4 linked regions of the Arabidopsis thaliana genome follow. The protein of the gene in region 2 purifies or fractionates together with the protein of the main gene of each other region. This does not show direct contact. Each region holds a gene or a part of one and is shown on either strand. Other genes may lie near its edges. The genes, in order: KRP6, CYCD3;1, AT5G02220 and CKS2.

The links.
Region 1: the proteins of CYCD3;1 (region 2) and KRP6 purify together in Arabidopsis thaliana (affinity purification with mass spectrometry, with the first as the bait; 2 studies listed by BioGRID). This does not show direct contact.
Region 3: the proteins of CYCD3;1 (region 2) and AT5G02220 purify together in Arabidopsis thaliana (affinity purification with mass spectrometry, with the first as the bait; 2 studies listed by BioGRID). This does not show direct contact.
Region 4: the proteins of CYCD3;1 (region 2) and CKS2 purify together in Arabidopsis thaliana (affinity purification with mass spectrometry, with the first as the bait; 2 studies listed by BioGRID). This does not show direct contact.

What each region holds. Positions count from the first base shown.
Region 1 is NC_003074.8:6,615,137-6,620,640, reverse strand, and holds KRP6 (KIP-related protein 6), read left to right. Parts: upstream 1-2,689; 5' UTR 2,690-2,985; coding exon 2,986-3,279; intron 3,280-3,382; coding exon 3,383-3,438; coding exon of another isoform or gene 3,439-3,530; coding exon 3,531-3,707; coding exon of another isoform or gene 3,708-3,711; exon of another isoform or gene 3,712-3,949; coding exon 3,950-4,013; 3' UTR 4,014-4,311; downstream 4,312-5,504. Other genes in the region: DNF (RING/U-box superfamily protein), read left to right, coding at 5,306-5,504. UniProt on the Arabidopsis thaliana protein: Binds and inhibits CYCD2-1/CDKA-1 complex kinase activity. Regulates cell division which is crucial for plant growth, development and morphogenesis. May inhibit CDK kinases specifically involved in the G1/S phase transition.
Region 2 is NC_003075.7:16,354,618-16,360,491, reverse strand, and holds CYCD3;1 (CYCLIN D3;1), read right to left. Parts: upstream 3,072-5,874; 5' UTR 2,590-3,071; coding exon 2,116-2,589; intron 2,027-2,115; coding exon 1,825-2,026; intron 1,716-1,824; coding exon 1,585-1,715; intron 1,512-1,584; coding exon 1,188-1,511; 3' UTR 927-1,187; downstream 1-926. Other genes in the region: AT4G34150 (Calcium-dependent lipid-binding (CaLB domain) family protein), read right to left, coding at 3,537-3,574, 3,674-3,983, 4,069-4,114, 4,804-4,875, 4,967-5,093, 5,201-5,305, 5,412-5,457. UniProt on the Arabidopsis thaliana protein: Involved in the control of the cell cycle at the G1/S (start) transition. Activates the G1/S phase transition in response to cytokinin hormone signal, but declines in response to sucrose starvation leading to G1 arrest.
Region 3 is NC_003076.8:439,922-444,206, forward strand, and holds AT5G02220 (cyclin-dependent kinase inhibitor), read right to left. Parts: upstream 2,267-4,285; 5' UTR 2,182-2,266; coding exon 1,963-2,181; 3' UTR 1,531-1,962; downstream 1-1,530.
Region 4 is NC_003071.7:11,911,065-11,916,180, forward strand, and holds CKS2 (CDK-subunit 2), read right to left. Parts: upstream 2,362-5,116; 5' UTR 2,197-2,361; intron 2,085-2,196; 5' UTR 2,049-2,084; coding exon 1,996-2,048; intron 1,902-1,995; coding exon 1,841-1,901; intron 1,534-1,840; coding exon 1,396-1,533; 3' UTR 1,087-1,395; downstream 1-1,086. Other genes in the region: CKS1 (cyclin-dependent kinase-subunit 1), read right to left, coding at 291-351, 427-479; AT2G27980 (Acyl-CoA N-acyltransferase with RING/FYVE/PHD-type zinc finger domain-containing protein), read right to left, coding at 2,886-3,002, 3,085-3,225, 3,521-3,614, 3,705-3,761, 3,838-3,902, 3,976-4,233, 4,315-4,371, 4,463-4,520 and 2 more. UniProt on the Arabidopsis thaliana protein: Binds to the catalytic subunit of the cyclin dependent kinases and is essential for their biological function.

The sequences.
Region 1 (5,504 bases), on a different chromosome or scaffold from region 2:
AAAACACATGGATAGGCTCAGTCACCTTTTAATATACTTTGGTCATAAATACGAACTGTAGCTAGAGTGATCGACCTGTTTGGCTTCTTCTTCTTTCTTTTTATTGCTTATAATATTAAAAGTCATGTTCAAACTTGGTTATATATGATAAGTGACAACAGAGAGAACCAGGTTCATTTAATTTTAGATTCAGATGAACAAGAAATGTGAATTTATGATCACAGACATAAGATGAGTTGCTGTGTATCTTCTTTAGTCAGTACTGGTCCTTTTGTCTAAGAAACTGTAACAAAAACAAGAACAACAGATATTAGAAAGAAAAAAAAAAGATGGATTGTTTTAAAAGAATTGCCAAAGGCATGAAAGAGGAAGAAACATATATAAGTAAAGATAAAATGTAAGATGAGACAGTTTCACAGATCCCGACCTCAACTGAAAATAAAGCTCACCAACTAACAGTCTACTGTAAAAAAAAAAGTCCTTTAAAAAGTGTGGATGACAAAAAAAAAAAAAAAAAAATGAGTCCTTAAAAAGTGTATTTTTACATTGTTTGACTTTTTCTTTTTCATCTGTTAGAAAACTCCAGCTCCTCTATTGACTTTTTTTTATGGCAATCAGGTGACCCAGTACAGAATTCTCAAGAATCAAGATTCATGTAATTTCGTTATGGTCATGTATGTGTAAGATATATTGTAGGGATTCTTAGGGTTTAATCCGGTCTTTTGTTTCATGGAAGATCTATTAAATAAATATTAGTGTATTATCTCGTTAGAATATCATTTTTTTTCTTTCTAATAACCTGTATTTTATCGGATTTGAATTCGGATCGTGAAACGATATTTAATAAAACATACTTGGTTACGAGTACTAGTTATAATCACTTTTTTTCTTTTTATATCTAAGTATTGCAATCAAAATTTTCTTGGCAGTCAAAATTATTTTAATCTTGACATAGAGTTTTCTACATAGTAAAAAATTATCTTAACATACAAATTAATAGTAGGAAGTGACATAGAAACTATCTTAACATACAAAATCAACTTATCTTTACATTTTTCTAACTAGCTAATCAACAATGTAACAAAAAAATATTTGATTATTGATTGATAGTGTTATTATATATTCATACAAATGAGAAAAGATTTGAAATGATAGGCGAAATTTTTATTGAAAAGTTCTATCAATTTTTTTAAAAGTTTAGGACGACCCTATTCAGGACTATATATGATCATATGGATTACAATGGTCACTGAATAAATTATTTTGAATTATATCATTCCCTCTTGATTTGTCTTAATAATTCCTAAATAAATGCCTAGGTCAGCGAATTCGTTGTTGCATCAGTCACTTAATTATTACTCGATGATTCCTTTTATTACTAAAATTTATTGAAAATGGTCCCATTTATTGGAAGAATAAAGAAGTAGTTACACTAAAATTTAATTATAGTATATGCTTAAATTTGTAAACCGTTCTGGCCATTTTGTATATATATATACATATATGGGCTCTTTAAGACGAGAATTGAGTTTAGTTGTTTACAATTGGTTTTAACTGTACGGACAGTTTAGTTGAGCTTTAATGGCTCATTCTCTATGGTGCTATATTATGGTTTTAACACATGTACATTATTTCATAATACATATGTCATTAAAATGACATAGAGGACAAAATCTGTTGTTGATGTGTATCTGATCAGTGGAAGAAACTTACACATGCATGGAAACTTTCAAAAAGACAACTAAGCATAAACAAGAGATTAATTAGACTTAAGCTGAGTTAGTCTCTATATGACATAATTGATGTTTCTACTAAGCAAACCCCAAACTGTTATTCCCTTTCCAGATTCAAGCATTATTTGATTCGTCATTGATTTCATGGTCTTGGTGATGATACGAACCAAAAAGTTGTATAATTGGTTTATAAGATGTAGGTTCTTACAAAATTGACTATGTAACAAAATTATAGTATTGTTTTAAACGTAAATTAACGAGGCGCTTCTAGACATGTTCCGACAAACATATATAATAGTACAGATGATTTTATAGAATGTAGTTAATCGATGTATCTTCTGCTATAGGTATCTCTAATTTATTGTTCCGACCACCACAATTCTTTTCTAAGTATTTTATAAATTGGTTAACCATGTATCTTCTGTTGTGTAATTATAGCTAGTATCTTCATTTGAAATATTGTAAGGAATAGTTTGTCTAATTGCTTATGATATTTGACCATCTAAGTAAGTTTATGAACTAATTGTTTTTCAAAAAAGGTTGATTAACCTTAATTACGTGATAGTTTTAACATTAAAAGATTTCAACACTATGTTCTGGATGTTAACATATCCATCTCAAAACCATGATAAAACGCGTACAATGGAAGGGATCAAGCTAATTTGACAAATCTCTATTCACACCTCAACCATTCATATATATACCCTCGATATATGTCACATCATTGGTTTTAGCTTTTAATTGATTCTCATAAAATATAAAACCCAATTACGAGAAAAGACTTGTTCGATGGTTCTCATAGACCCTGACCAAATAAGACTTGTTCCTAAACAAATCGAATTAAATAGAGTTGTGGTTTACTCATACTTTAAATCGTTTTAAGAAAAAATAATGACTACTGTTACGTTGCTACTACGTCATAACTACCGAAAATGATTGCGTTTTCAATTGCTTTGAAAGGAAGCCAAAAAGGCAAAAACGGCAAAAAGGGAGAGAAAACGCGTTTGGGAATCTCAACGGCGTTTGTGTAAGAAAATAAAAGCGAAACTCCGTAACGGCGCCGTTATATACCATAACCTCCGTCCGCTCACCAAGGAAAATAAAATCTCAACCGTTGAAATAATCAACGGCTCATGATTCATTCTCTCTCCTTCCCCACCAAAATCTCCTCTGCTTTGTTAAGAAGCGAACCAGAAATAGAAAGAAAAAAAAGCAGAGAGAGAGAGCACACAAAAATCCAAGAGAGAAAAAAATGAGCGAGAGAAAGCGAGAGCTTGCAGAAGAAGCTTCAAGCACAAGCTTCTCACCACTGAAGAAAACGAAGCTTAATGATTCTTCTGATTCATCACCGGACTCTCATGACGTCATCGTCTTCGCGGTTTCATCTTCTTCCGTTGCTTCGTCGGCGGCTTTAGCGTCTGATGAATGTTCCGTTACCATCGGTGGAGAAGAAAGTGATCAGTCCTCGAGTATCAGCTCCGGTTGTTTCACCAGTGAATCGAAAGAAATCGCGAAGAACAGTTCGTCGTTTGGTGTAGATCTGGAGGTGAATTTTCAAAATCAAATAACTCCTCTCTACTTGAATCGATTTAATCAGACGATTTTCTCAGTTTTCGTTTTGATTTTTTATTTCCGTTTCTGTGTTTCAGGATCATCAAATCGAAACCGAAACCGAAACCTCAACATTCATCACCAGCAATTTCAGGTTCATAATCTTTTTGTTTCCCCCCCCCCCCAAATTAGACGTTCAATCGATTTTATTCTCCTTGGCGATTTTTTCTCTGTTTTTTATGGCAGAAAAGAGACGAGTCCAGTGAGTGAGGGTTTGGGAGAAACGACAACAGAAATGGAATCATCATCGGCAACGAAGAGAAAACAACCGGGGGTGAGGAAGACTCCAACGGCGGCGGAGATTGAGGATTTGTTCTCGGAGCTAGAGAGTCAAGACGATAAGAAGAAGCAATTCATAGAAAAGTGAGTCCATTTTTACAATTTCATCATCTCTCTCACGTGTGTTCTTGTTGTTGTTGTGTGCGCTTTGCTTTTTGGGGTTTGGGAAAAATTGGAGTGAGTCCGTACCTAGAGAGAGAGAGAGAGGAATGTGAGTAAAAATGTCTGCGTGCGCATGATAAAAAGATTAACCGACGCGTAGTTTAGCAAATATCCTAAAAAGAGAGAGAATCAGAATCCTAACGAACACACACACTTTGGCACAGGTACAACTTCGATATTGTCAATGACGAACCGCTTGAAGGTCGCTACAAGTGGGATCGACTTTAAGCCATCAAAAAGCAAATACCATCCATGAAGAAGACAAAAGAAAAATAGGTTTTGTTTTTCGTGGTTAACATTTCCACTTGTACAGCTCTAGTCTATTTCTCTTTAAAAACCTATGTTACTAGTTCGTACAAAACAAAACAAAAAACACGACCTTTATAATGAAATTTCGGATCTTGGCTACTAATTACGGTGATTTCGTTGGTTTGTTATGTTTCTGTTTTAAAATCAAAAATGGTTTTGGCAGAGTTTTAAGTGCATGAATATAGAAAGGTGCTTCTTGTTTGGATTCTTTTAAAACATTGGATGCTTAATTATTACAATTATTTTATCTTACTCAAAACTATTATTTTTTGTTTGTCTCATGTCATTCTTATTCTTACACTTGCAGTTTATGTTATATTTAAATGTTTCATGTCATATAGTACCCAATTTACAAAAATATCTGAAACCAAAAATTGATGTTTTAAAAAAAAAATTGGAGAAAAGAGGAAAGGTACATGACATGACGGCACAGTAATACAGTTGGTTTGTACTTCTCTAAAAACTGCGATCATACAAAATACAAATATTATATTTTTTCTATTTTTTTCACTAATATTCTTTTATTTTATTTTGGAATATTCCTCTATTTTGGCACTAAACACAGGGTCCACTTAGTTAAAACCATTTTGGCCTTCATTAGATAAAACCAAAAAGCGGCCTATGCGGAGTAGTAATTTATCCTAATGAAGTGTGTTACTGTAACAAAATATCATCAATGAGTGATACTATATAAAAACGATTACATAGGATATATTTACGTGGATTAGCTTTTTGGTAACGCATTAAAAAAGGTTAATCTCATCATTGCATGGTTCCGTTGGGATTATATTTCTCCTTTGAGGCTTTTTTTTTACCATGTCTTACATAGCAGACACAGCCACGTGCTTCTGTTTCCACATTTATTTTTAAATTATTATATCATCTTCTATTTTTTTGTTTAATTAGTAATTTACAAGCTCGAGTAACAATTAAATAGAAATGTTGGAAAACATTGAAAACGAGAGAAACTACAACCCAAAATACTAATGATAAACAAAACCGGGAAGTGTATCTTTAAAAGAACGAACTTGTGGTTGCTCTAGTTTTGGGCCCTGGGGGCTTTGTTTCAGACCCAATACTTTCTTTAATCTATCGAATTTTTGGATTATTAATTAGAACTGAATTAGGATCTGGTTTCAATATTAATCCCTTAATACATACCTATAAAAAGGTTATTAATTTGAGAGATTGATATTGCAAAAGTTTTTAAGATGAACGAAGATGCTCTCGAAGCTGTACGATCTCGCACATTCTTCGCGATTCTGACTGTGTTTTATTCTATATTTCGTTGTTGTCTTGCTTATTGCAACAAAGGTGACGATGATCATCTGATTCATCCTAGTCATAGTTTACATGTCATAAAAGCCACTGGGATCAACCCTTCCGTTCTTTTATCAATTCCTGTCGTAT
Region 2 (5,874 bases):
TGATTCAATCGCATTATCATATAAGCTTTTCCGTGATACAAAAGGGATTTTATAATAGTAAATTGTTAAATTTAATATCTTCAATTTTCGTAATTAATTGACGATTATTTGATGTTATTAAAAGAAAAAAAGAATAGTAACGCTGGATACTTTTTGCCACGTGTCTTAATCCCAGGTGCTCAGAGTGGAAGCAGGTTACTTTGGTTCTGGTGTTGTTACTAATGCTGCACCACATTTTTATCGTCGTCGAACAACACTCACCTATATATGGCGCGTTTACTTCACTTCCTCCTTCTTGTCCTGTGTCTGTCTGTCGCAGTTAATTTATCTACTGGTCAACGAAAGATCTACACTCTGTAGATTTGATTTAAGTTTCGCTGTTTGATTTTTAAAAACATTTATAATTATATGTTGTTATTTTCGACAACTTACATGTTCATGTGTAGTTAGTTATTTGATACGCAATAATATAGTGTAGAGCAGGTTTTGACAAGACTTTAGACAAAAAATCTAAAGCAATAATATAGTGTTACGTTTTCATTTTTGTCTTTCCGTTTTAAAATTTTAATTATTGATTCATCTTTGAAAGCGATTATATTTAAAGACTGACAAAAAAAGCAGCAACAATTGGCTCTTCTCCCAAAAGTCAAAGCTAAAAACGCTAAATCTTTCACTTTCGATCATAAACACAACAGTCTCATTCAAATATTAAAACATTGTGACATCTCATTTCTTAAATTTTGTATTATCCACCATTCTGGACGAAAAAAATGTAGTTATCAAATAGCACGGATTTAAATGCGTTTTTTTCTTTCCTAAACTACAGGAGTAAAAGAATATGTATGTAATTATTATTTCCTTCAGCAAAGCAGATTTTAGAACATACTACTACTCATAATATAAAACATTAATAAAATATGAATAACGCCGGAGATTACGGCCCAAAGATTGGGCAAGCCTCAAAATTTACGCAATATTATTATTATTATTTCTAATTCTCTCCTTCGTCACATCCCATGCAGTCAAATGTCATGAATACCCTTTACCCATTAACTCTATCAAGCCATGGCACGTAAGGGCATTCGCGACATTTCGTATATGCAAACGGGTAAAGCTTAATACAACAAAGATTGTTCTCAAAGTTTAAAAAAACAGTAAATATCATATAAACGAAATCGAGCTTTCGATTATGGAGTGGCTACGATTGCCCATGGCAGATGCAAAATCGGCTTCTTCTTCTCATTCTCTTCAGCTCCTCTCATCTTCTTCAATGGAGGTTGTTGCTGCGGGGACGACGACGACGTTGGTGGGTTGCACGAACTCGCTGACCACGAATCGTTTGAGCTTTCGTCGCTATTGAAAGGGTTTGCATCAATCACGCAGCTTGGACTGTTCAACGATGATGATGAATCGTGACTCTTGCGTTTCTTGGAAGATTGGATTTGGATCTGTAAACCGATGCGGTCCACTGGTAGTTGGAGGATTAGATCGTAGCAAGTTTTCACCTTTTCCTGTTAATGCACGAGAGTTGTTTGAGAAAATGACTGAGTGAAAACAAGTAGAGAGATGATTAGAGAAGCTAACCTTGGTTAAGTTAAGGACACCGAGGAGATTAGTTTGGTATGAAAGAGGGTCAAAGGGATCAACTTGCTCTATAATTCGCATCATGGTAGCTGCGGCAACTACTGATGGGAGGTACCCGACAAATCTTGAATCTGACAAAGACAATTGAGGAAGATAAGACAAGAATGTAAGATGATTACTCAGATTCAGCAGATGGTAAAACGAAATGGAGTGGCTTTTTTCTTTTTGTCGTTTACGAACCGGAGATTACAGAGAGGAGGAGACGGTGGCATTTGTTGAGGAAATCCCAGTGAGCATTGTTCTTAAGTCCCAATCTCCTGATAATGTGGTCTACGAACGAAATTGGAGTAATGAGATGCATCTTCCACTCGAGAGTAGACAGAATCAGTAGCTCCATTCTCTGTATGGTTTTTGCTTCAAACACATACTTTGTCTCCTCCACCTGCAAACCCCCAAAAAAACAGAGAGATGAGAACAGAGGGATAAAAGACTTAAACTTTAAGGAAATTTATTGCAAGTATCATCATTTACTTGAAAGTCTAGAAGAAGAGGGACTTGGGTTTCTTCGACTTTAGCAGCTAATGAGAGACACGCGACAGAAACGAGCTGAAGCATCCATGGTTTGTCTCTCTGTAAGCTGTAGCTACAGATGAACTTATCGAGATAAGTTATGGCTAAAACAGCTGCTAAAGTAGAGAAGCCATAATGAGCGTTGACTCTCAGAATCCAACCAACAGCTTCTTTTCGATCCGTGGAAAGATAAACATCATCGAGACAGCTGAGTCCTTGTTCTTCTTCTTTGGAGAAGAGTGTAACCAGATCTTCATCTTCCCAGAACAAATCTTGTTGCAAAACAACGAATGGAGAAGAAGAAGAAGACAAGGAAGAGTTTTCTTCAACTTCTTCTCCTTCATCGTCCCATTTCTCTTCTTCGCAGTAGAGAGCATCAAGAAGAAACGAATTGCTCTGTTCTTCTCTACTTTCTTCCTCCTTCCGAATCGCCATTGTGGGGGACTAAACTCAAGAATGAGAAGAAAGATAAGATCTTTCTCTTCTCTTCTATATTGTTGTTGATTTAGTTATTGGGTTTTGGCTCAGAGCATTACACGGAAGAAGATAAGATGATAGAGAGAAAATCTCTCGGAGAGAGACTCATCTTTCCTCTCTATGGAAACGTGCAGTGGTTAGCTTAGCAGGGGAGAGCTACAAAAGAGAGACTAGAGAGAGAAAGAGAGAGGAAAAAGCTGGAAGTGGGTTTCGGAGAGTGATAAGAAGAGAGATTGATTTATGAGAGAAGGCCGAGAGATGGTTTTTACGTTTGTCTTTTACTAATATATTATTTGTTTTTCTTGTTGTGATTATTTAATGTGGAATTTCTTTTTCTTTATTTTTTATTAAATGTGTGATTTCTTTTGCTGTTTCCCGCTTTACCCACTTTTTACTCATTTGGAGTAGAGATCGAGAAACCAAAGTGCAGTAAAATCTGTCGGCTAAATTCTACTACTTTTGGGCTATTTGTCAACAATAATGTTTTTGTTAGAACCTAAAGATATTGCTATACATTGACCAAATAACCTTTTTCTAATTGCATCTGATCACAAGTGCGATGATTATACGCCGATAAGTTCCGTTTCTTAAAGTTAAAGACAGAACCAAAACCTTTTTTTGTTTTTAACATAATTTTAACTCAAGAGGATGATGAACACACAAAACCAAGGATTTAGAGTAATAATTCAATATAATCTGCGATCTGGTTAAACATGAAAAGATCCAAACTTCTCAATAAGTTTCACTGACCAACTCAAAAATTAACCATCACGCTAGCAATAGCACAAGGAAGATGATATAAAAAAAACAAAACAAAGAAATTCGTCTGCCAAATTCTAGAAAACACCATAACTATAATCTATACATCATGACCACTTCCCGTCAAATTCTAAACGCCAAACGCTCTAGTATGGAGGAGGTGGGTATTGTCCTGGATATGGACCTGGAAACAAGAAGAAAAAAGATCAACCACCACTGACTATAGTTAGAGACAAGCAAATGCGATCAATTGCAGCATAGAACAGGAAAGAAAGGAAGGTACCTTGTGGGTAATATGATGGTTGCGGAGGGTATGGTTGAGGAGGGTAAGCTGAGGATGGCGGAGGAGGTGGGTAAGCTGAAGGGATCGGAGGGTAGCCCGAGGTTGAGGGAGGTGGATAGGCAGATGGCTGAGGAGGATACCCTGAAGCTGGAGGGTATCCTGATGGCTGAGGGTATTGTTGTACTTGTGGGTATAGAGATGGTCCAGAGTATGGTGGTGCTGTTGAATACGGAGATGCAGAAGGCGGTGCTGAGTATTGAGGTACGTGAGGTGCATACGGTGCTGATGGCGCAGACCCGTAATTATGTTTCTGCATACAAGAGTGGATTGTGTGTTTAGCCTTTTGTTTATAATGGAACATGTTAACCAATGTTGCTAATTGAGGCTCGACTTACCTTTGCTCCCGCATAATGCAGTAGGAGTTGTACTTCTCCAGCGAATCTACAAGACAGAAAGGTTGATGTTTTTCACAAGGCTTTTAATCAAAAAAGTAATCTTTTACAAGGAGCAATCGCTGAGGACAAGCTACCAAAATCTTGGCACATTGTAACCGATTTTCCAGGAATTTAAGAAAACAAAACACATAGCCATGGATTAAAAAACACATAACTTTCTCTTTTTCAAAAACAAAAATGGAATACCTCAAGAGACCAGTTTTAAGAAATTCTAATTTGATGCTACAATGTTTAAACGCAACTTCACATCTCTTTACTGAGGTAACCTAACAACAGACAATAGAAGCTCCATTTATGTCAAAATGTCTAGTTATCTTTCATAAGTTCCAGAGAAACCTAATCAAAATGCTACATCAATTGTGAGTGTGCTCAATGTAGAAACAGAACATTCGAACAAGTAGTTCACACAGATTAACAATTTAGGACACAAAAACACACATAACGACTCTGATCAGTGAGCAAAACCATGTCAGCACTGTAAGTAAATGACAAGAACAAAGCAAAGCAAAGCAAAGCAACTGGCGAAACTATATATTCAAGCACTATATAGTAGAAACCACATCAAAAAGTTGCACCAAAATCAGCTAGACAAATGTGAACCATGCAATAATCGAGATTACCAAACATGATACTTAATGGAAAAGGAACAAAAACTAGTAAAGCCAATGTAATTACCTCCCAGTTTTACTCTGCAAAGTCCAGGTACAGTCGTCGTATTCCTGAGAAAGAACTTTCTGCAATTGAATCCTAATAACAACCAAACAACAAAAGACTCAATTCCAAATCCAAAGCGGGTATTAAAAAGCATAACAAGGCAATGATAAGAAGTGACACATACGTTGCATTGCCAATGAAGTCATCAGTGGAGAGAGTGTTGCTATTCCAGACAGCAACCTTAAGATCCCTAAGCCCTTCAATCAAAGTGAAGATAAACTTCTCTTGGAAAACAGCGTTCTTTCCACCATCTGAAAAAACAAACCCATCAATCAAATTCATTGAAAGATCTTAACTTTGTTCAATTTTTTCTGGATCTGAACAAATTATGAATAAAAGAGGTGGTATTAAAAATAACCTGTGCAGGTTCTGGTACGGTGACTTCTGCCACCATACTCAAGGACGACGTATGGATCTTGTCTTGAAAACCATTCCGTGTCTTTCAATTTCTGGCACCCAACAACTGACAAATCAAAAGAATCCCAGAAATTTTAAAAGTTAACATTTCAACGGATCATAGATAAGGTTGAAGAACATAATAGAATTGGGGATGTGAGAAAGGTACGAACCAGTGACCTCGAGAATCTGGCCTTGTATACCCGCCATCATCGACATGAATTTGGAAGAAAACAATCGAGATTGAGAAAAAGAAGGTAATGATGAAGATGATGAATTCAGAGAGATAATTCCGTGACGTGAGACTTTAAATAAAAATAAAATGGCGACTTTGATTGATGATGAAATAACGCAGAACTTGCTTTCAAGAACCAGACGCGTCTCGTAAGGCGTTGACCGTAATTTTGACTTTTCATTAGATTTAGGTACGCGTTTTTTAAATATTATTATTTCCTTAACTATTAAAGTCTAGATGTTGATAATCTTTGATTCATAAAATCAAAATTTTTACAAACAATTACAAGCACAACCACACAATAGTGATAATTCTATGGCATGTCACCATTAAAGATAGATTCACGACAATCAATAAGTAAATAAATATAGATATAGCTTCGCTTTGTTATTTGCTAGACA
Region 3 (4,285 bases), on a different chromosome or scaffold from region 2:
AGACGAAGACGATAGGTCAGTCACAGTTAAGAGAGGATATATATATATAGGGATTACACGAGTATGTTAAAAGAGATGAATTGAAAGCTGGAGAAATAAACAAAACACAAATGAACAGAGAATATCCAAATAATTAACCGATCCCAACTTACAAAATCTACCCGAAAATATATGCAAAAAAATCTTTTCACCAAATATATCGGATATAATTAAGAGAATATCACAAGTATGACTAGGTCTTTGATAATCAAAAAACAAAAAAAAATGGGGATCGGATCCCCATAATTTCTCAGCAGTGAGAGAGATCGGATCTTTGAAAATCAAGGCACAGAGGAAAGACGTACGATAGGTTCAAATAACTTTGTGAAGATATATATATTTAGGGATTAAACGAGTACGTCGAGTAGACTTGGTATTTGATGATATTACAATTTTCTTACAAAAAAAAATTTGGTTTCTTGTATGAATATTTGCATTGATTGAAATCTGGTAACAAATTTTCGAAAAACTTGTATCTTGAATCTGAAAAATCACTCCAAGTTTCTCATATACTCTGCTCGGAATCGGAATTTCCCTTTTGCTTTTCATTTTTTTCATCTTCTGTGAATGGTTATTTACATGAGCTATAAAGTATCGTGCCTCTGAGGTGCTAGATGGTTTTCCTCACTGTGTTTAAAGGTGAAGTAGTGCGTTTTGGTGTTAGGATTATCAAGTATAGCTAGCATAGCAACATGTTGATGGCCTACGAGATACTGAACACTTGAATCGTAAGTATAGCTAGCATAGCTTATCTTTGCTATATTCAAACAAAGTACTTGTGGATTTAGATTCTGGACTAACAAGATTTGTACTTTAAGAGATCCTTCCTCTTCATCTCAGTGGTACCTATGTTAAATGTAAAATGTTGTCTTTAGTTAAACGGTGTGGATACTTTATACTTAAGAAATTAACTTGGAAGTTACAATTGTAGATAGTCATCTCTTTACTCTCATGGAAAATAAGTTAATATATGACCTTTACTATACGACTATTTGCTTTCAGCGATATCAACGATCTGATGATAGTCACTGCGGAAACCTTGTGACTCAGAGCAAAAAGAGGAAACTGTGTTGAAGAATCAGCCATGTTTACCCCTACGGAAGCACTTTTGTCTGGAGCAACAAGCTTCTCTTCCTGATTCTTCATCCGACATAGAATCTGCTGAAATGCTCTTATATGCCATGGAGCCATGGAGTACACAAAAACCGGCAATGAGACCTCCCCTTTTGCGTCTCTCCCAGAACCTTATTTGGGACACAAAAACCGGCAAGGACACATGTCTAATCATTCAACCGGAAGTTATGGTTCTGGTTATGTTACATCAAGCTTGGACCAGTGTTGTTCCAAAGTTAATCATAAAACACACGAAGATGTTGAAGACTTTACTCACCTACATGAGTCAATATTTTAGTGTCACGCATTACAAAATTGTATGACATTCATTTGAATTGCAGATTCCGAAGAAACTACCTCAAAAACCAACCATTGATCAAAGAGTTTGAGCACTACTTTTTCAACACTTATGAATAACCAAAAAAACAGAGCAAATAAAGACATTGGTTCATCTGAATTTTCGTTAAGCTTTTGATGTTGTCTTGTTCACAGTTTCTAAACCTCACTTTCTCACCCAATTATGTAGTTGAAAAAAACTCTCTAATCAATAAACAGCATAATCAGAGTTTAACAATCAATCTTTCAATCTCCGACAAGAACTAATTAGATCTAGAACACAAGCCAACAAATTTCGAATTGGAAAACAGATCAAAGTTTCATTTTAGCAAATTCCAATTTCGATACACAAACAAAGTCATCTCTCTGAAAGATAAATAAAATCTAATAAGAGAACAAACCCTAAACATGTATCTACAGAGAAGAAAGTAAAAAAAAAACCTAGATAATTCAAATCAAATCAAATCTCAAAATCTAAGCGCAAGCTTCTCTTCGAGGCTGTGCGTAGAACAAAGTTTCAAGATCTGGTGGCTGAAAGTACCCGTTCCTCGGCGGATCTCGTTTTCTCACCACCATCAACTTCTTCCTCGGCGGCGGTGGACAAACAGACGCCACCGGAATCCTATACATCGTGCTTCTCGGCGTCGTACATCCTTCCTCCGCCATCTCCGTCTTCCTCTCCACCACCTCCATTCTTCTCTCTCGAACTCGAAATCGTCGTAAGAGGGAAAAAATTTGAAGTCTGAGAAGAGGCGGTTACATCTTTATTTTATATATCAAAAAAAAAAAAAAAATTCAGATTATTTCCTTTTAAAAAATTCGAAATTTGGGAGGGAGAACAAAAAAGGAATCTTTCTCACGAAGCTCTTTCTGAAATATCAATCGGACGGTGGATATGGTTTTAAACAGCTTGATGTGAGCTGGCTATGCTGACGTGGTGGAATTTTAGTGGTTGGTAGCACCAAATTTAAGTAACGCGTGACCCAACCGCACCGTTTCTCACGCTCCACTATCATTATTGGTAAATCTTTATTATATTAATATATATTTTGTCCACTTTTATCATATTTAATAATATTTTTTATCTGTAATTTATCCGTTTGTGACGGCGCGAACTTGCGCAGCAAGTCCCTTTGGGCGGGAAAATTAAAAAAGGACTCCTTCCTTTTTGCAGCGAAAATTTTATGTTCGTATACCGATCGGTTTTGGTAACATTAAACCGAAATTGTAAACCGGTATCTTTTTAATCCTTATATAGCTTCTGGAAATGAATCACGAGGGTGGCACGTGCGGTCTTCCACCAAGTTATTCACGTGATTTATTTCTGAGAGTTAAACGCACTCTCACTGTTACCGTTGTTCTTGTCCTCCAGTTACAAGCCAACGTAGCAAAAAATAAAAATTATAAGTAATTGATTTTTGTCAAGATTATATATTGATTATGGTATAACAAAACTTTAGAAATATAAAATTATCAAAAAATTATTATAGTAGCAAATTTAAGAGAAGCCCATAAACCACAAAAAGTATCAATCGGTCAAACCCAAGAAGAAAGCAAAAAACCCAAAAAAACTTAAACGGCCCAATCTGATTAACTATATAATATATCCGTTTTGGCCCATTAAAATAAACATTACCGGCGGCGAAAAGAGCTCCGAGAATATGTGGGGTGCTCCGGCGATTAATAATTAAAATTAGTTTATTGTAACTTCATGTTTTTCGTTGTTGTCAACTACTAATCCTTTTCACTTGACTCGGTCTTCTAGTTTCAACATCGGTTAAAATGGTCCTCAGATAAGTTCTTAACTTGTCGTTTTAAATTACAACGTAGACGTATTGTAGAGCTTCTTATTTAAATAATAAAAACAACGAATTTTATGTGGAAATAGAGTTGTTTGCAGGTCTTTGTTGTACTCAAGGAAATTTTCTTGCAATTTGTTGTTTCACTGAAATGTCAACGTATATATATGTGAACATGGAGAGCCTATCACATTCTCTACTCTCGATGATCATGAGTACAAATTATACAATAATCCTAGTTATTAGTTTTTACCATTATATAATACTAATTGATCAAGCAATATTGCTTGCGGCTCCACTTTTATATCAAACGAAACCTAGTCCTGGACTCCTAGTAATTTAATTTTCATTTTGGAGATTCAGTTATCAGATTTTTTTATTAAAAAAATATAAAATTGATATATGAAAAAAAAAAAAAAAAAAAAGAGAAATAACAGGGAGATTGTAGTCTACAATTTGTAGTGGAGTCTCAGTCTACATACATGAGTCATATTGATGTCTTTCTATAGTATCAATTAAGTTTTGACGAATGAGTGACAAAATATTTTGTTAGTGCCTTTAGTTTTGAGTGATTGTCCTTTTCACCACGACTTGACAATTTTTTTCTATGAGTCCGAATTACGAAACTACACATAAATTTCTGATTCATACGCCAAAAGAAAAAAATATTATATGATCACTAACACGATTTGAATATGAATACTATATGATAAGTAATACATTGACTTTTATCGTAACTCGTTGTACTAGCAGAATAGCTTTAGTTAATTATTTTCCCTTGTTATTATATTCCAAACTAATCTAACCTCTTCTCTTGGACCTCTATGGAGTTTTCTTTGTTAATGTTGTTAGTATGTTTACATTTAGTATAAATTTATACGAAGATGCTTTGTGTTTCTCTTCTTACAGCTCTTATTACTTAATTTAATTTTAATTATATTCGTGAGTAATTTTGATATTGACGATTAATTGAGTTAATCAATAAGAACAGAAAAATG
Region 4 (5,116 bases), on a different chromosome or scaffold from region 2:
AAACATTTTTACCATCACCACCAATCAATACAACATTGAAGAGATTGCACAACACAAATGTCTAAAATCTCTTTATCACTAAACCTTACAAAATCCCAAAGCAAAGATTCAAAATCGTAACAGTTGCAATTTGGATTCAGAGCAAAGATTCAAATCCTAAACCTAAACGATCTCTTTTTCGATTTTTCCCAAACTTAATTTCTTAAGAGCAACAAATTTTCATAGTCTTCGATGATCTAATCGAAGGATTTAGAATCAGAAATCAGAGAACAATGCGGAAAAAAACTTACTTCGGAGAGAAGACGATTCTTTGGAAGAAGTTTAGCGACTTCAGGAGGAAGAACGACGTGCCTGTATCGATCGATTACGATTAGAGAAGTGAGAGTGAAAATTGGAGGAAGAAGAAGCGAGATTGAAGAGCTTTACCTGTATTCGAAAGTGTCATCGAAGTATTTCTCGGAGTATTGGATCTGACCCATTTCTCTCTCAGAGATGTGAAGCCTTAATCAGGAAATGGAGGAGAAGGGAAAGAGGAATTGAAGAATCTGTAATCTGATCGTTTGAAATTTGGGGAAGATAGTGAAAGGAGAATAAAGTGGTTTGGGGTAGATATGTAATTATGAGGAAATAGAGGGGTGTTTGATTAACTTTTTAGAGTTTTGAAATTCTTTAGAAGACGCCGATTGGGTATGAATGATTATAAACCGGTTAGTTACCAAAATGAATTGAAATTGGGTGGATTGGTTTGGTTCTAATTAAATTCAACAACTTGTTTGGTTGCTTTGACCAAAGACCTTGTTATTTACCATCAAACTACGAACTCGTTCATTTTCTCGAAATTTCATTTAATTCCAACAATCAGTGCTTCACACTAGGTATAAGATACATATCTAGTTAATTTATAAAAATGGCTCTGAATCTCCTGGTTTCAATACACTAATAGTAGTACAGTAAGGAATATATGGTGTTTGGTGAATGTGGTGATTGAGACACAATATGAGTTTCTTTGAATCAGTATCGCCATGAGAATCGTGATTAGACCTTCAGATTGGCATTGTAATGATACCTTGTTTGTTGTTCATAGTTATGGACTTAAGACTCTAAGAGGAGCAATAAAAAGAGGTTGAAATGATGAAACAAGCACATAAGCATGAGAAATAACGTCTTCATTCTTAACCATGAAGAAGTTCAAACGTGGATCCAACCAAAGTCTAGCAAAGGACCAGACTTAACATAACATTAAAAGTTGTTCTACCAAACTCACATGATTCTCCACTGAAGAGAATTCATGAACACAATAAAAAAAACTACAGGAACAAAACATCAGAGTAGTATTTTAAAACCTCGTTTACGAGAGACATAAACAGAGATTAGGGAGAATTTTGCATAATTCTTCTACTTAGCAATCTGAGCTTGGTGCTCCTGCTGGTAGTTAAGAGGCCTCCTAAAGAGCATGATATGTGGCTCAGGACGATGAATCGCGTAATGAACCCATCCACGACTTTGCTGCACTCCGATGGCTCTCCATTCACTCTACAAAACCAGATTGTAAAACAAGAAAACTGTTAACTTCAAAATCAGAAAACTGAGAATTGACTGATAACACAAAAAAATATCTAAACTATCTTCGTCACTGCTGACAATTACACAACCTAAAGTTAATAAACAAGTTAATGAGAAGCAAAACTTCAAATTCCTAAGCAGAAACTTCAATTTCTTCGACTCTCAAAAGTCCAAACTTCAATTTCCTAACTTAATTTCTTAAACATGTAAATCTCTTAGCCTACGATGATTCAAGGGTTATACAGCGAATAGAGGAAAGCCCTAATTTTTAACTTACTTCCGAAAGAATACGATTCTTAGGTAAAAGCTTAGCAACTTCCGGAGGAAGTACAACGTGCCTGAGAGAAAAATAAAAGACCACGCGATTAGACTGAAACTAAAACGTGAGAGAGAACTCCATTAAAATGGGAGGAGAATCAAACTGAGAATCACCTGTATTCGAAAGTATCATCGAAATATTTGTCGGAGTACTGGATCTGACCCATCTTCTTAAATCACCCAACAAACGTCTATTAAATTTACTAAACAAAAGAAATGGAGCAATCTGTCAGTAATCTAAACCCTAAACAACGACGAGAACCTAAACAAATCAGAAATCGAACCCTAATCTAAGAATCGGGAAGTAAAGCAGACCTTGAGAAGAAGTGCGATCGGAAACGAAATGAATTTTAGGGGAGAAGAGGGAAAGCGAAAGGGAATTAAAAAGGCATTGTGGTAAGGAAGTAATTATGGGGATTTATAGGGGCATTTTCTCAACGGGTGTTTTGATTTTTTTGAGTTTCAAATTTCTTAGAGGCGCTCCTTCCCGCTTAGTGGAGCCCTAAAATTTTGATTACGGTTCGACGTTAATCAAACCGGTATAATTCCCGGTTCAGAGATTCATTTCTAAAGGCATCAGTATCTTCCTCTTATAGTCAGAGTTCAGGTGTCCGTATACTCGCCGGCTTTGTATACCTCCTTTGTTCGATATATAAACATCAGTGACAAAAAGAAAAAGATTTCAGAAAATTGAATTTCATTTTTGGGCACTAATATACAAAAAAAAATTAGCTTCGGATAATCATGACTAAACCCCCAAAAGAATGCCCTAATGTTTTAGACTTCCCCATTTACTTCCCCCTCTTATCTCTACTTCGTCTCTACCAAAACCAAATTCTCTAACCCTTTTGTGTATCTTTCTCTCTAGTTTCCATTACAAAGAAAGACACGTTAGGGGAGAAACCTGTACAAGAACGTGGCTACTACCCGAAATTAGATTAAAAAAGAGCATCCAATCGTTTCACCAACTTTCCAAAAACCAAAAAACAAAGACAACCTTGAGCTTACTCCTCCTTACTGGCCTCAGTTTTACTCACGGCACTCGGTGCTGGTACACTCTTTCTCAACATAGATGTTCCATGAAAGATCATCACCGAGTAGTCTTTTCTGTATTCTTTCACCTAATAACACACAAACACAGTGTGTATCAGAGATGGGATTCATTGGGAGTGTATATAAGTTTATATGGATATAGATATATACCTCTTCGTCGGTCATCTTGGTGAAACCAAATTTGTCAGTCCATATGGATTTGGCTTCATCTGCTGCTGGTAGCACGATATGTTTCACGTTTAGGAACCCAAGTAGCCTCTCGATGCAAGCAAACAGGCATTGGAAGTAACCCTACAATAGGAAAAAAAAAACATAAATTCTCAAACTCTCAAAAAAGAGCAATCACAAGCATTTCATCCCCCAGGTACAATTTGACACAAAAAAATTCCTTCTGCAATTAAGATGCTACACATTGTTCTGCTCTTAAGCTATTCGACACAAAAACATGTCTGCTTAGATGTATCACTGTATAATTTATCAATGTATGGGATTGACAGTAAGAGTGAGTCGTTTATTAACCATTCTATAGGAGTAGGCACCTGTTGTAAAGAAAAAACATCCAAGGTTCCAGATAAAAACTGTTTACCTGCCCTTGACAATCTTTGCTGGTAGCAACCAGAGGGAGTTCTGCAAGTTCTGACCCAAAAACCCTAAAGATTCCCACTGAAACAATCACTTCGCTGCACAAGAAACAAAAAAAGGACAACATTAAAAAGATGAAACATGCGTCACAGAAAATAAATTAGAGTGAAAAAGAAGAAGAATCTTACTCCACAGCCAACATAGTGCAGTACATGCCACTAAAATCTTGGGCCTTTGTTTGCCTTCTGTTCCACACACAAAAGTTGTTGATCAGCACAAAGAATAATCCACTCGACTGATTGAAGATACAAAATTGCTTACCCATACACCATGGCTGGTATCAAATCTCCCTTGGTCCCAGATTCACTGATAGGATCAAACCGTTCCTATAGCATACAATTGTTAGAAGGGACAAACAGCAGAAAGGACAGAAGAGTTTGAAATGTGGTCTTGACTTACATGAAGAATGGAAAGTGCCTTTGCAAGCAATATTTTGGTATCATCTGAAGAGGTCAACTTCCCACTAAGGACCCTCCATCTTATGTCAGGAGTGGTTTTATAATCTGGACAGTTTTCTTCATTAGGTTGTTCCTTCTTCCTTAAAAAATTCAGAATATTGTTACTTAGCTTCTCTTCTCCGCGAACTATCAGATTGCCCAATGTAGTGTTGATCTCTTCGCACCCGAGGGAACAGAACCATTTTTCTTCAGGTAGCTCCTGTTAAGACATAACAAGAATGAGAAAGATAGATACTGAGTTTTCACCCGAGGGAATGAAAGAGCTAAATAGGCAAAGAACCTTGAGATCAGCAATGTCACGTTCTTTCAAACAGCCAACATGGAATTCCTTTTCACACTGAGGAGAAAACAACAAAACCAAAAATGGTGAAGACCAGAAGCAGATTTAAGAGGCAAGGAACCCTATACAGCAATGAACAACAAAGTACCTGATCACAGATAATCACAGTGCGAGCATTAAAGCCCAACCTGCAAAAACTATGACCTCTGCAACAACATAGAAAATTAAGCAAAGGTCAGTCTCATAAGCAAATGGTTTCAGTTAGCCAATACACATCTTCTCAACTAAACATTTTTAATGAGACACTATGAAGGAAGACATCAAGAGACTAGAAATAATGGAAAAGCTTGATATTCACCTGCATAACACGCATACACTTGGGAGCTCGGTCACAAAAGAGCTGACAATTCGAATGCATCTATTGGTTATCTCAGCAATTGCATCAACTCCCTGAACTCTCCCAGCTGCAATGGCGTTGAGATTGCTATCCACGAACTTCTCTCTCTCAACCATATTCACACAATATTTGCAGGACCACCTCTCACTCGGAAGGCTTGGTAGAGAAGCACATACTAGATAAAACCAAAACAGACAGATAAGCTCTATCAAGTTCACGCTCCAAAAACATTTTAAAAGTAGCAATAGAAGAATTCCAACAAACAAACATGGAAAACTGCAAATACCAAACCTTTATGATATGATCTTGGACAGGTATCACAACACACGAGCTCACCCCCATCCCTACATATACTGCAAAGGTCATCATTTTCATGGATGGAAAACCTCTGGTCCATTGATAGTG